Drosophila melanogaster: one gene and its partners. The protein of the gene in region 2 interacts with the protein of the main gene of each other region in a pairwise test. Each region holds a gene or a part of one and is shown on either strand. Other genes may lie near its edges. The genes, in order: esn, raskol and RtGEF.

Region 1 (5,168 bases), on a different chromosome or scaffold from region 2:
GCGATTGTCAACGGCAACCCTGATTTTATTTTATTTCCTTATATTTTTGTTACCATTTTCCCGTTGTCTTTGCCGCTGAGATACAGTTATGATTATGACAGGCACCATGTTGTTTGGGGCAAGTGAAAAAAATATTAATAAAACACTACACAGCCACCCCTCCACAGCTACACACCCCCCACCCCACGCGACACGTGCGACAAGCCGCACAACAGTCGGTGTTATTGCCCCGTTGCTGCCTTTTTTACAAAGTGTAAATTGTTTTAATACTTTTTAGTGCCACGCAGCGCCATCTTGTGTCGCGTAGTGGCGGCAGCTGCGCCAAACAGCCACGCCCCTCCTCCGACCATCGCCCACCGCCCACCGCCCGGGGCAACTTTTGACTTACACGTGTACGTTGCACGTTCAAATCTCAACTTTTACGACCTCTGCAGGATATTATCGTCGTTGTTTTACTAGCGTCACTTTCGGGCTTGTTGTTTTTTGCGCTCCTGCTGCAATGACGTTGACTTTAACCTGTTGGCCATGGCCAAAGTGGGAAAAGGGCTACACTTGGAAAAATTATCCCCACTTTTCACTTCTTTACAGTATTCAGTCAGGAGTATTCATATTGTCATTTAAATCAAGCAGAACATCCTTCTTTAAGATGTGGTCGGGAAATGTAGTGAATCTAATTCAGAAGTTAGTTTTATAGTTGAATGGAGCTTAAAGGCATTGTCTATCGACCATACAACCAATGATTGATTACTAACGATAATGATAATACAATCACCTTGAGCATCTAATGTTCTCAGTGCACCAATTTTCACCTGCTGCTGGCATCTGACAACTGCTTTCGCTGACATTTCTCCAGTTGGAGACCGTGTGTCTCGGTTTTAATCAAAATTGTTTCATGAATTGTTCAGTTGTTCCAACTGTCAAATAAAGTTTTGACGCCCCTCTTTTCGGAAAACTCCGGGCAATTAAAATACTTTTGGCAGTCACTTGCTTATTTCGTTTGCCTTCAGCCGCTTCATGTTGGCTGTTCTCTTCTGGCCTGGTCCTCAATTAGTTGGGCCATTTCGCCCATCACTCTTTGAGTGTCGAAAGAGAGTGCAAATATTTAACGTTAAATGGGGAAATTAATTTATTTACTTTCGTCTTTCATTGCAGTTGGTGAAACAATTTGTTAAAACGCAAACTTCGCAATGGCAATTCGTTTGGGAGAGTTTTGAAGGTAAGTTAAAAATTCAATTGAATCCTTTAGCTTGTAGTAAAGGTCACTAATTTTAAATTATTTCTGGTTGTTAGTAGCCAGAGAAGAAAGTATAATTGCAAAGTGTGAGAAGTTAGCGGCTCTAATTAATTCATCGAGAGAGACACTTTATATAGCGACTCAAAATAATTCAACGAAAGACACATTTTATATTGTGCAAATAATTTTCATAGCATTTTTATATCCGAGATAGTTAGTGGAATGCCTCGGAAGTGAAACTGGTCTTTGATCTATTAAGTCGATTATCAAAATCACCACATAACTTTAAACTAAAAACCATTTTGAAGAATACTTATCCCAAATATCAACAGGACATAATTGCACTGGCTAGTAAATTCTAGCTCAGCCTCAATTGCAATGAATCAGTAGCTGCGTGTTAATTGAATAATATGTGAAATCGGTGTCGACTCCATTACCGTCCGTGTGCTGCCACAAGAAGAGAGTCCCGTGCAGCATAGGGAAGCCACAAACCCTAATTTCCAATGATTGGTTTGTTCCCTCGTCCACGTTCCATCCGCCCGTCTTCATTTCCATTCCGGGGCAAACGGATGGATTTCATGAGAGGGGCCTTACCCGATTACCACATTTTCACCAAGCCCGCAGTCTAATGACCACCTATGAGTGCGCTGCTAATGTGGTAACACAACGCCCAAGGGACGCTGGCCGTGGTCTTCCCTTGTTGGCCGTGATTGAAATGGGTCAATCGCTAAACGGCCTGAAATGTGTCAAATGGCCCGAAGACAGCTGCATCAACCAGTTGCAGCTACCAGAATCTGCCTCTTCAATAGCTGGCTAATAAACGCCACCACATTCTGGCTCGAATCCGAAGCACTCAACCGAAAGCCACTCGACTCACCTGTGCCACCTGTTTTACCTGCACTTGCTTGGGCCACAAGAGCGAGCGAGAGATATATAGATGAGAGAAAGAGAGCTGTGGTGAGTTGGCTGGATCGTCTTGGTGGTGAGTTTGACCTGCACCAACCTGGCCAAAAGCCGCCTTTCGGCCAACAGCTACTTTCTACAATCTTCAGTTGTTTGAGCAGCCCCAAAGCGAGCGGTGCGAGTGCTGTTCTTTCGCGAACCAGGAATTCAGATAGAATCCCAGCCGATACGTATCAATCCGATCGCGAGTGCACGTAATTGGAGCAAGCGGATCGCCCGTTAATTGCTGGCGACGGTAATTGCAGGCCGCCGCATACCTGCCAACTGCTTAAGGTGTTCCCCGTTCGTTAATGTGTCAATTGATTGATTGGCCCGCGACCCGTGATTGACGTGCGTTCCACTCACCGCGATGCTCTCGAAGAAGCGCTGGTGGAAGATCCGGCTGCCGCAGGTGGGCAAGCAGGATCAGTCGAGGAACTACCGGGACATCGTCAACCTGAGCGAGTGCTCCTCAGTGCTGGCCAACACGGCCACCACGATTAGCGACAGCTCCACCACCACCGCCAGCAGCGGCAGTCCCACCCGCCACCGGAGCTGCGACAGTCTCTCCAAGAGCTCCCAGGCGGAGGCGGGCAAGCTGTTCCCCCGGAACATGCCCAGCATACGGCGGAGTCGCCGACGGGCTGTGTCCGCGGAAAGGGAGCGCCTGGCCAGCCGGGAGCGGCTGGAGGAGCAGGTTCAGCCGCCGAAAATGCCGCAGATAGGAGCTGGACAGCAGTCCCGGCTATCGACGGTGACCAAACTGACGCCCAGGAAGCAGAGTAGCAAGTCCACGTGCTCCAAACATCGGGGCAACGCCCCTGCGAAGTGCATCATCAAGTCGGCAGTGCGAACCAAGACCAAGCCAAAGGCCACCACGATCACCCTAGCACCCTACGAAATAGCGCTGGAGCTGCCCAACGAATCCCCTGCACCCACTTTGGCCATGGCCGTGGCCCAATCCTCCGGCTGCGTGCAGAGGAAGCTGAGCAGCGAGGATCAGTTCCACTCCTCGGGAATCTCCTGCAACGGGGAGACCGACGATGACGTGGAGGTGGCCATGCTGACCGGCAGCTTAACGCCCTCCCAGATAGCAAGGATCCAGGGGCAGCAGATCCTCCGATATGACGATCTGAGGAACCTGAACCGCTGCCGCAACAGGAACGCCGTTTGGCTAAATCCCAAGGATACGGAGCAGCTCCTCGAGGTGGACAAGAGCAGGAGGAAGGCCAACTGCTACTTCAACCAGGCCATTGCCGACGATATCCAGCTCAGCGATATTGAAGAACAATTGGCCAGATTTGATGGCCACTCAAAGAGGCCGCCACCGCCGGCAGCCACAGCACCCAAAATGTGAGTTTCCACCGGCTATCTCTAATGGCCATAACTCTCGGCGATAAGTGGGCGAGGGAAAGCGGAGTTGTCGGCGGGAATGTGGCCAACTAATTTGAAATCCATTTGATGAGCTTTGCATTTCCCAATTTAAGTGACTATAAAACGGGCGTCGCAGTAGAGAGTTTACGGCCCAATTTGATGGCTGCTTAATAGCTTCATATGAGCCGTGCTCCGTGCTCCGAGTTGAGGAGCAGTTGGGTTCTGGAGGATTCTATTCCTAACCACTGGAATCATACTTTATGGTTCTTCAAATTAAACTGGCTATTCGAAGTTATAGGCAAGGCAGATCGCATTAAAATGGGCTGGCACACTGACAGCTTTATAGATTTCCGACTTACGTTGAGTTAATACTCGTTATATTGAAAATGGCCGCTTTCGTGTTTGGTAATTTAATACCTTTTAGCTGCCGTTGAAAATGTGGGTCTGCAACTTTCTACCAATGTTGTTTTTACAACTATTGAAAGAGAAGTACGAAGGCCAAACAATTTACCGAATTTACCGACTACAATTGCAATTGTTTAAAAGGTAATAAACCAATGGACACGATTGTTGTTTTTGGCCCTTGGGTTTATAGCCCATTTGAAGTTTGCAATGTTAATATGGAATTAATCCCGTGATCTTTTTTTCTGTTGTCATTTTTGTCACCATCGCCATTTCTTTCCCTTATTAGATTTCATATTGTTTAGGATAAATTAATTTCTTCAGAACTTCTTAAGGAATCCAGAACGATAAGGCATACCTCTTTGGCGGCTCATAAATAGAGCGGAGTTTATCATTTTCACCTGATCAACAGCCGTTGTTGGCTACGCGTATCAGTTTCAATTGCGCTGAGAGTACAAATCCTACAGGTCACCCTCGAATAATGGCACAAATAATCCGCCATAAGAGGCTCTGTCAGCTGGAGGCGACTTTGTGGGCTCGCTAAGAAGGTGTTATTAATGCCCGACTATTTGCAAAACTGGCACCGGAAAGTTATTTATCAACTTTCTGGCCAGCACGTGCTCCTTCCTTCGCCTCGCTGTCGAGTTTTGTTAACTGCAAAATGAATTGCATGCAGCTAAGTGGCAACAGCAGCGGTTAAACGAGGCTGGCAGAACTTCGGGTCCACTGAGCCCATCCTCACGAGGTCCTTCTCCTCCGATCGCCCGTCACCTTGTGTTTGCATCCTGCAGCCTCATAAATTCCATCCGACGACTTCATAAATTGAGTTCTTTTTGCCGCCTGACTGAGTGCCCTTCATCGAAAAGGTATTCTGTATCTTTCAGATCTTTCAGATCTTTCAGGTCCTCGGCATCTTTGCCATTTCTGCCATCTCTTCCATCTTTTGTATTCTCTGCATTCCGCATGCAGACTTCATTTGCATGGACTTCTGTTCATAAATCTACGCAAACTGTTAATTAGATTTTGTTTTGGGTGAAGCCATAAAATATTGGTGGAAGGAGTGCGCCATCAATTTCCCTTAAACAGAACTTTGTAATTTGAGACGCACATCCACCTCCAGTTCCACCTCCAGTTCCACATCCATATGCACATCCTCTCGAGCCATTCGCAATCAGCGGGGCTATTACATTCGCAGTTTAAATAAACCAAACCCAAT
Region 2 (5,168 bases):
TAAGTAGAAAAAGGTTCTTCGGCGGAAAACTGTGCGTTAGTATCGAGGTGGCCGAACAGCTGTTCTGCAGTTTGTAGGGCGAAGAGCCCGCTATCTGACTGGCCGTACTGCCGCCGAACAGCTGACGCTGTTTCTCCTGCAGCTTTTCCCGCTTCTCCTGCTTCTCCTGATACTTCTCCCGCTTCTTCTCGAGCTCATCCAGTGCGGCTGCCTCGCGTAAAACAACTGAGGGCGATAGATTTTGCGGCAGGGTCTTCGATTTTGCACGAAGCGTAATCAACGTCGTCGTCGTTGTCGTAGTGGTCGTATTGCTGGTACTACCATTACTATTACCATTGATATTATTATTATTGGGCGTCGTATTTGTTGTGGCCAAACCACGCTCCACCGATGGCAGCGGTACGGCTAGTATATTGGTTCGCGATCGCGATTTCATTAGCTTTATGGGCGTCGAGGTGTTCGTCTGCATGCGACTTATTTCTGAGTCATCATCGTAGTCGTTAGACTCATGAGCGGCGGATAGTGCCTGCTGTTTGGGCGGCGGGGGCGTGGCCAGGACAATGTCGTTCTCCTCATTGAAATGAGTCCTGGGCGCAGCCGCATTTGGTATGTTCTGGCCGTTTGGCATTGATGGCATGGATGGCATGCTGCTACCATTACTACCCAACGAGGACTGCTCGTTATCGCTGCCATTCAAACTGATGACGTTCAGTACGATGCCATATCGTTTCAGTTTCGATGGGGATGCGGTGGTGGAATTATTATTACCGCTGGGCAGGGTCTTGAGCAGCTGTTCGCGATGACGTGCCTCCGTGGAGTTCTCCTCATCATCATCGGTATCGGAGTATTGGGCCGTATTTTCGCTGCCACTGATGCTCCAATTGAAGCCGCAAGGTGGCGACATTTTCGATGGAGTTTTCCGCTCGAAGAGAGCACTAACCTTGGCCACGCCGCTTTTCACCGAACTCGATTTGCGCAGACTATAGCTTTTCGATGATTTTGTTTCGGAATTCGTTAGGGAATTGCTATTGCTACTTAGGCTCGTATTGCTCGAGGACTTTTGGACCAGATGATCTGCGGGCGTATCCTTTTTGGTCTCCTCTTCGTCTTCTATTACCAATGGTACATAGAATGTGGAGCGTCGTCTTTGGGATTTCTCCTCCGGCGTCGCTATTATCGGGCTTTCACTGTTTCCTGTGTCTGCTGTATTTCCCACTGGTGCTGTTGTTGTGCTGCTAGCGGCTTGCAACATTTTGTTATTTTTCGCTCAGTGTAGTTTCGAGAGCATGGCACACACACACACATTCGCAGAGTGAGAGAGGTGGAGAAAGAGACAGAGAGAGGGAGCACACGCAGGTATATTTTGTATTTGTGTTTGTTGACGCTGCTGCTGCTGCTGCTGCTGCTGCTTCTTCTTCTAGTACTTCTACTTCTTTCTCTTTTTTGCTGATGCTTCTGTTTTTACTTCTTGAATTTTATTTACTTCCCCTCTCGCTTCGCCTTTGAGTTATTTTTGTTGCTGTTCTTGCAGTGTGCGTTTGTCGCTTGGCTTATAAAAATTATGCGCTCAACTGCATTTCCGCGTTTTTTCTCTTTCTCTTCGCGCTTTGTTTTTGCTGTTATTTTATCGCCTTTTCGCATCACATTGTCGCTTGGTTAAGTTTTTCATTATTTATCTTTACTTTTTGTACTACTCTTGGTTTAACGTTGTTGTTGTTGGTTAATTTTGGTTTCCAGTTGCAGCATACACACACACACACAAACGCAGCGCAGAGAGACTGCACTAATACACACGCACACGCATCTTTTTTCTCCTTCGTGTGCAGGAATGCGTTTTCGGTTGTTGTTGTTGTTGTTGTTGGACTTAGGGGATAAAACACTTTAACAAAAACAGCACTAGCTTTAACAATTATTAAAAAAAATTAGAGATGTAGCTCAGCAACAAGGCAAAGGAGGTATTATTTTTAATGCACGCAGAATATAATCAAGTGCAATAACATAGTAAAAACCGACGCACGCGAGAGCGAAACTAAAACAATAATAAACGGGCGATTTAAACAACCGCCGTCGCCGCTCCGTTCCGTCCACTCCACCCGAACTCTAAAATCGATCTGATCTAGCGATGTACAAAACATTTGCGCAGCGCGCAGCGATGTTATGGCTGCGGCGATACTTTTCGGCGTTTTTGTCGCTATCGATTAATCGATTTTCAAGCAATGATCGTGTTCTACGTGGCAGTAATCCCTTTTCACAATTGTGCTCTAATTGAACGCACGGTTCTTTGTGTTTTTAATGTCAATATACAACGTTTTTCACACAGTCGCTGATCTCGAATGCGAAAGACAAAAAAAACAGCAGTCGACGATCGTCAGTGCTGCCCATCGAGGGTGCTGCCCATGCGCAGAGAGCACCAACGAGAGAGGGCTACAACAACGCCACAATAGCGGTAAAAATGATAGCTACCGCGGCGAAAAAGAACATAAGCCTTTTTCAAAATACCAAAATTTCAATAAGAATGTGTCCTAAATTTAAAATGTAGAATGTATCTGATATCTTATTTTTTTGATATATCTTATATTTTTTTTATATATCTTATATCTTATTCTTTAATTTTCTACATTTTTCTAATATATATTATAATATATTTCTGAAATAACAAAAAGTATTTTATTGAACTCCTATTAGTTGTTGTTATTGCCCATATGTATGATACGACATCTATGTATCTACGCTTTGAAGCACACTAAGTAATCCTACTTTCCTACCTCAACTGTGGGTGTCTATGAATGTGTGTTAGGTGCTAGTTGGGCAGTCGGGCAAGGCATAATACAAATTAAGGGAACACCAACCGAACCCCAACCCCCCCGTACAACCCAACCATTCCAAGCGTCGTAACGCTTGGTTCGCTCTTTACCTCTATTTTATTTTATTATTGTGTTTTTTTTTTTCATTCTTCCCGTTTTTTGTTCACTGCGGAAGTGCGTGACTATGGGGTTTTATGTGACACGTTCACCTCCTTCGCCGCAACGAAAAACGGAAGACTTGTTTACGAGCGGCTCGTAAGTAACCATTTCCATTCGCATTTCCATGGGCATTACATTAGCATAGGGGCACAATGAACTGTTGTGAGAGGGAGTTTTCTGCTTTACTTATCAACTTTCAACCCCTGGCCGAGCCGATCGTTATATAAGCCACGTCCTGCCTCTCGAAATTCCGTTACATTTATAGGGAAAGGAATTACCCTAAATTCAATAACAACATGCATTTGAGCAGTTATGCAAATAAACATGGTTAATCCATGAAATAGTGCATACTTTTTGGCTCGTGTAGAATACAGCCACTTCGTGTAGATATGTACGTGTAGAATTCGAAGCTTTACCGTAAAATCTACTGCGTGGATCATCTTAAAACGCCTCGATTTATGCAGGGAGTTAATATTATAAAGTTCTTTTGCGAGTGGCGTATGAATGACAAGTATCTTTCTTTTAAATAATCATATACTAAAGTTCCTGAAGCTACCGAAAGTAAACCAAAGTCTTTTGAAAATGCTGATTTTAGCAGAAGGAATTAACTTATGCGGCGGTCTGATTCAATATTTGTTGTTTGTTCAAAAAAAACTAAAAGGTGTTAATAACTAACCCAGTTGCATGGTATTTATAAATATTTATAAAGCGTTTTAAGACTGATTGCCTTTAAGTGGCACATAATCATTTGGTTTCGATTTTGCAAGACAGGAAAGTACAATTTGTATTGGTAAGAAAGAAATAGTTAACGTGAAATTTGCATTACCATTCCAGCTTGCATATTTACATATAGAATGAGTAATTTTACTATTTGAGAATCCCGAAAACAAGGATATATAATTCTCACCATGAGCTTCTGATATTAAATGCAAGTTTTAAGAACCCCCAGGCATCCAAATGCATAGGGTTAAATATCGCCCATGAATGTGATAATGTCCAGCAAGTGCTGATAAGCTCAGAGCAGATCGGATTGCGCTGAGCCGGCAAAAGTATTCGCATTTGTGGGTTTCTAGGTCTCTATATGGCAGTCCAGTGCAAAAGCGTTCTAAGCGCCACCACATGAAAATCGGGGAATCAGAAACAGAAACAGACACAATGTCACGACATTGAGATACGGATAATGCATGAGTAAGTTGCCGCCATAGTCACACACTCACTCACTCACTCACTCACTCAATCATTTACCACACTGAAAGGGAATCAATCGAACAATCGGGCACTTTGTGTTGTTACCTTCATTCAGCGATGTATCGTTTAACGCCGTATCGAAATGTATGCGAGGCAGTGTCTTCGACTTGTACTCACCTGTAAGTAGTGGAAAAGATGTTGAAATGGATTAGTTGTGTTAAATGCAAATGCCAGATGTCTAAATACTAGATGTTTTGTGTTTTCTGCTTGGTGTTTTGTTTTGCAAAACTCGACCCATTTACATGGCCTGACCTTTGAGCTAGTGCTGTAAAATTCACTTCAATTAATGCAAAATATGAAATACAGATACAGATACAGATACAATTGCTAGACATCGCAAGTGGTCGCGGCGATGACAATGTGGGGCACGCTCGTAAATTGAGCAATTGTTGTAGGTGACCCAGGAGTCTGTGTATGCACGTATGTATGTACGTATGTGTCTGGGATCTCTGGTCTTTATAAAGAGCCCCAGGCCCCTTGGGTTCCCAGACGAAGGCATTATTATTGTGATTATGATTGTGCCGTTGACACTTTTTCCCAACCAAACACTGCATTATCTACTTTGCGCGGGTCATCAGTCGTAACTGTGCAACTGTAAATTATGCCGCCACACAATTGACTTCAAAGCGGAATGGCCGAACTGACGAACTGCCCAACTGGCCGACCAATCCAGTGATGATTGTGAATTCTCATTCTCGATGATGTCACATCCGTCTTCCATCCAACCATCCATCCATTCATCCTCTTGGGCAGTAATGTGATGACAGATACAACGAATCTGAAGATTCACAGCTGGGTTGACAGATGAATCATTTCAATTTCTGACTGAGCTTAGTCTTTACACACTTACAGCTCAACTTTAGTATATATCCTAGCGCATACATATAAAATAATGTTAGTTACTTGAAAATTTGTCTGAAAATGTGTGCCATTCCATACTGCAACATATGTTGGTTA
Region 3 (5,168 bases), on a different chromosome or scaffold from region 2:
TCTTACAAGAAGCATTTAGTTGACTGAATTATTGGTTTTTTTTTTTTTTTTTTTTTTTTTTTGTATTTCAACACTTTCTTTTAAGCAACATATTTATATAGAAAATCTAATACATTTTTAGACACATGACAAAATCCTATTTACGTTAAAAACAGTTTCAATCGTTTAGTCCCAACAAAGGACATTTAAAGCTTAAAGCTCAAGAATACATTTTATGTAATGACTCCTGTACTTTCGGCACAACTGTTGTTCAACTTGCTGCTGCTCGTGCAATAGTAATTTGTTGCCGGTTTCTGGAGTTCAGAGGTCCGCCTGCATAATCCATTGGGTCAATAGCAGGGCTCCTCGTGGGGCATCCGTTCCAGCTCCTCCCGAAAAGCGTTTGTTTGCTAGCACTCGCTGCGAAAGTAAAATGCACTGCCGGACGACGACGGAGGCACGTTCTGCCTGCCGCTGCCTGCCGCATGCCACCTGCCTCCCGGCCCCAAACTCCCCCATTGGATTCCCAGAACCAACAAGCATCATTACCCGAACAATTTTGAACCGCTGCCAAGAGAATTTCCTATGAAAGGTGGTGGCAAGCTGAATGCAAATTCATGCTTTTCTTTACTCTCACATGATCTTGGTTTCGGCCACCAGGTCAAAAGCAGTTTGCAAAATAAATAGCTACCCTAGAAAATATTATTTAAATCAAATTGAATTATTTCATGGTTTAAAAAGTTATATTTGTTTGTATATATTTATGTGGGGAATGTGAAAAAGTCTAGGGTAAGATCTCGTCGAACCACTTGGCTCTTTGCGCCCTATGGTTGTTATTCTTACGCTTTAATGAAAGCATGTTGGCAATATCTGTATGTGGGCCTGTGATTTCCCAAAACAAACATTGGCCGTCAAATCATGCGCCTGATTTTCACTCGTGTCTGCTGGGAAACCGCGTTTCTTCATATTTCCGCTGCTGACCTCGTTCTTGGTGTGTTGGTGTCGAGAACAGCGGATCCCCACAAGCTATTGGAACTCCCACTCGCTCACCTCTTCGGTGTGCCCACAGCCACCGATGACTTCCTCCGCCACGAAGTATCTATAAATACGGCGAGCGACGCAATCAAACTATATTACGTCCATATATCTGAGGAAATGCATCTCAAGTGGCGGCTGTGCAGCCTGTAAATCTCGGTATTGACACATTGAAGAGGCCTTATTGAGTGCAGTTCGGCTGAGCTAGTAGGGATAGCGATTCGGATCCGGTCCCGACCAGGCAGAACTGCATAAATTTGGTTTGTCTTTGGCTGACTTTGTTTGTCTTTGCCGCTGACTTTGCCAAGCAAAACAATCCACTCGCCTTTCTTTTACATCTCTCGTCTTTGTTGTTTACGTTCCCCAGTGTCCCACGAAAATAAACATTCGGTGATTTGATTTGGGGTGCTCCCCTCCGATGGATGCGACGTTTTACTCGCCAAATTGCGCATTTCCGGAAGCGGCAGGGATATTCATTTGAATTTCGCCTTCGGCGACGGATCGTTAATAACCGAAAGAGTTGTCTCTTATACTCAGAGAGCGTGGGCCCGGTGTATCTGTATCTGAAACTTGTATCTGTATCTGTATCTGGATATGGGGCCGCATAGCCGATCCGCGCGGCGCCATGTGCAAGTTTAATGAATTAATTAAAATTTGGTTCCGAGAGCTTCAATGGGGTATGTATGCATCTTTGTATGTGCCCACATATCTGCGTGTGTGCCGCTCGGTATCTGCATTTATGCATCTGCTCATCTGACCTCCGATGCATCGTTTGGAGCACCACCACCTACGGAAATTTGATTGTGCCCGGCCATGGACTTAAAGTGATTTCAGGGTTAAACGAAGCGAAGGAAAGTGACATACATTCGGCTTGGGTTTGGCGCTGCACTTATAAAGCATATTTTTTGCCGACATTCTGATCTCGGCAGATTTGAATACGAATATTCTGTGGAAAAAATATTTAGTTCTTGGTCACTCTAGCTCAAAAATTCTCCGTCGGTCTATAAGCTTCAACATCTTTATTCAGTAGAGTTTACAGTTCCAGCCTCCTTGTTTGTCTCAGAATGAAAGTCTTTGGGTTAAATTTGATTTATATTCTATCTTAAATTCTAAAAATATGACGAATTTAACATTTCCTGAGGCCATAATCCCATTAAAACCACAATGTGTGTCGCACGATTCTAAATTTTAGATTATACAAGTCTACACATTCCATAAACGTTTCCTATGATTCACGGGCATATATTGTATGATCAACAGGAAACTGAGCGGAACAGGTGAATTTTTCTGAAATAATTCTAAAATGCTTGAATATGAAGAAGTTTTCGATTGATGACTGAATCCACAAACATGGAAGATCTCACATCCAATAGGCAACCCACATATATTTTGGCACAAATATTTTTATGTGGTTTTTTTGAATAGACAATACAAAAGCACAGCGAGTGTCGCTTATTTCTCAATGAAATACAATTAAGATCCTCATTTTGGAAACGCAGATGAAAAGGTTGTCCCCGGATTCATATTTTTTGTCACATCTCTGTTGATTTTTCATGAAAATATGCGATGTGTCCGGTCGAAAACGCTCGCGTACATGTGAAAATATATTCGAATCTCCTGCGATCCGACGAGACTCTCAGAAAATGACTGCGAGAGTGGCACTTTCGGTTGCCGTGGAAAATTCGTCTGCCATATGTCGCCAGCTTTTCGGTATTTTCCGCTTTTCTCGGCAGTTTCGCTGAAGCAATGAACGCGTGCGGTGCATCGTCTGAGAGCAGAAAAACGGCGAAAAACGTCAAATTGTCGTACCACAATTTATTGTCGAAAAAGTATATATCACCCATCTATACAAAAGAGTAGCGGGTATATGTATTCGAGTGCCTAGATGGCGAAAAAGTGACATTTTAAGAAATTTTCATGCGTTTGTGCAACCAAAACGTGACCTTGCCTTAGGGAAATATTCTCATCAGCCTATAAATCTTGACAATCTCATGAGAGCGGTAATAATTCGTGAAAAACTACACGTTCCAGTTTGGCATATAGAACTTGCGATCCGCCAATATGTACACTTTCGTCTGTTTTTTATTTTTAGTATTCTAGAAAACTATTTGGGCAAAATAAACCAAGTTGTTCATATTTTTGCGTTTACTCATTGCGGCAATAGCAAACAAATGTGATGCATCTATTTTTAGAAAATATATCACTTTTTAACATTTTCAGTCCAGAATTGAATTTTTGCATAAACATAGGAATTCCTATATTAATAAAAGCACACGTCGCGCTGCCAATTTTAAATAGTACCAACGAATAGACTAGGCTAAAGACTTTTATAAACGACTTTAAAAATAATGACATCCACTAACTAGCCCCCTAGTGCCACTCATACAAGAGACCATTTCAATTAAGCTTTGGAATATTGGGGGTTTTTGTGAGTAACAATGTCGTAATATAATTTTCGAGGCATTCGAAAATATTGCGATTTTACTTCTTTCTATAGATATCTGATGTATAGAGTGCACTTGCCTTTAGAATCCAATGTGCCAATCCCATTTCCGTCAACGAAAGTGTTTAACGATTGAATGAAATGTTGATCTCTTAAAGAGTTGTTCGAACAAACCAAATAAAAAAGGTCGTAAATATTTTTAGACGCGACGTGGCCGTTGTTTATGATTTATATGTTGGCCTGTCCTGTCCGGCTATTCAAATTGTTTTTATGGCCCGAAAAGTTTTTCTTTCACAATACGCGCGAGTGATTTTTACCCAATTTTTTAATGGATCCTCGCAGCTTGTGTGACCTTGGCCATCGTGTAGCGCACGAGTTTTCCAGACACTTGCAGTAAACTAGGAAAGAAAAGCCGGAGGGGAGTCGCCGGAAAAGTGTCAAGAAACTTGCGCACGCGTTTCTCGACAGATGTTTTCAAAATGTTTTCTTCTTTGGGGCCATAATTATTGCTCGGCTAATTCCAAGAGGCTGAGGAATGCCGAGCGATCGACGATGATGTAGCTCATCGCTGCAATAATGCGTAGGTGCTGTATATAACGAGCGATATGCTCACATATGCTTTTTCATTGAGCAAATTGCCTGGCTGATGTTTCAAGTTCAATACCCATCGCCTCGTTTCAGTTGAATCAATCTAGTGCGCACTCGGATCAGCCCTGAACAATCCGATAATGGATCAGCCACTGGTGGTGCAGGCGGAGTACTCCTTCATGGGCAGCAATAACGACGAGCTGTGCTTCCAGAAGGGCGATGTCATCACGGTTACCCAGCGCGAGGATGGTGGCTGGTGGGAGGGAACGCTGAACGATAAGACTGGCTGGTTTCCCAGCAACTATGTGAATGAGTGCAAGGTGCAGCTGCCTCTAACGGAGACCATAAGGCCGCCGGAGGAGATCCAGGAGTATCGGTCTGTGGTGCTCAAGGATCTGCTTGACTCGGAGCGCGCCCATGTGGCCGAGCTGCAGGGTCTGCTCGAGAATTTCTTGGAGCCCATGCAACAGACGCAAATGTAAGTTCTCTATTCTCTGACATAATTTGAATATAATCTAAAAGGGCTTCTTCTACAGACTCAGTCAGGATGAGTACGCCCAGCTGATGTGTAACTTTGTAGAGATTGTGCGTACGCACGAGGATTTGCTTATCCAGATCGAGGAGTGCAACGATCGAGTGGGAAAACTATTTCTCACCAGCGCCCCCTTGATGAAGAAGGTGCACCAGGCGTACTGCGCTGCCCATCCAAAGGCCATTGTCATACTGGATAAGTACAAGTATGTGCTCCTCGCTTTATATACATATATTGTGGTGTTCAATTGTTAATAAATATAAATTTTTTTCTATTCCAAAAGGGACGAGCTGGAAAAGTATATGGAACGACAGGGCGCAGCCACTCCTGGATTACTTGTGCTCACGACGGGTCTATCAAAGCCCTTCCGGCGACTGGACAAATACTCGGCCATGCTGCAGGAGCTGGAGCGGCATATGGAGAGCAGTCATCCGGATCGCGGCGACACCCAGCGGAGTGTTGCCGTGTACAAAGACATAGCTGCCACCTGCTCGGCCACCCGTCGCCAAAAGGAGCTGGAGCTGCAAGTGCTCACGGGGCCAGTGCGTGGATGGCAGGGCCAAGAGCTGAGCACCCTCGGGGACATCATCC

Evidence for each region.
Region 1: the proteins of raskol (region 2) and esn interact in a two-hybrid assay, tested with the Drosophila melanogaster proteins (one large-scale study listed by BioGRID).
Region 3: the proteins of raskol (region 2) and RtGEF interact in a two-hybrid assay, tested with the Drosophila melanogaster proteins (one large-scale study listed by BioGRID).

The regions. Positions count from the first base shown.
Region 1 is NT_033778.4:7,104,396-7,109,563, forward strand, and holds the start of esn (espinas), read left to right. Parts: upstream 1-2,284; 5' UTR 2,285-2,546; coding exon 2,547-3,529; intron 3,530-5,168.
Region 2 is NC_004354.4:17,735,358-17,740,525, reverse strand, and holds the start of raskol (raskol), read right to left. Parts: upstream 2,114-5,168; 5' UTR 1,253-2,113; coding exon 1-1,252. UniProt on the Drosophila melanogaster protein: GTPase-activating protein, which acts as a negative regulator for some members of the Ras family. Probably decreases their signaling activity by stimulating their intrinsic GTPase activity, thereby lowering the levels of the GTP-bound active form.
Region 3 is NT_033779.5:20,351,225-20,356,392, forward strand, and holds the start of RtGEF (Rho-type guanine nucleotide exchange factor), read left to right. Parts: upstream 1-2,742; 5' UTR 2,743-2,843; intron 2,844-4,138; 5' UTR 4,139-4,185; coding exon 4,186-4,523; intron 4,524-4,581; coding exon 4,582-4,782; intron 4,783-4,860; coding exon 4,861-5,168.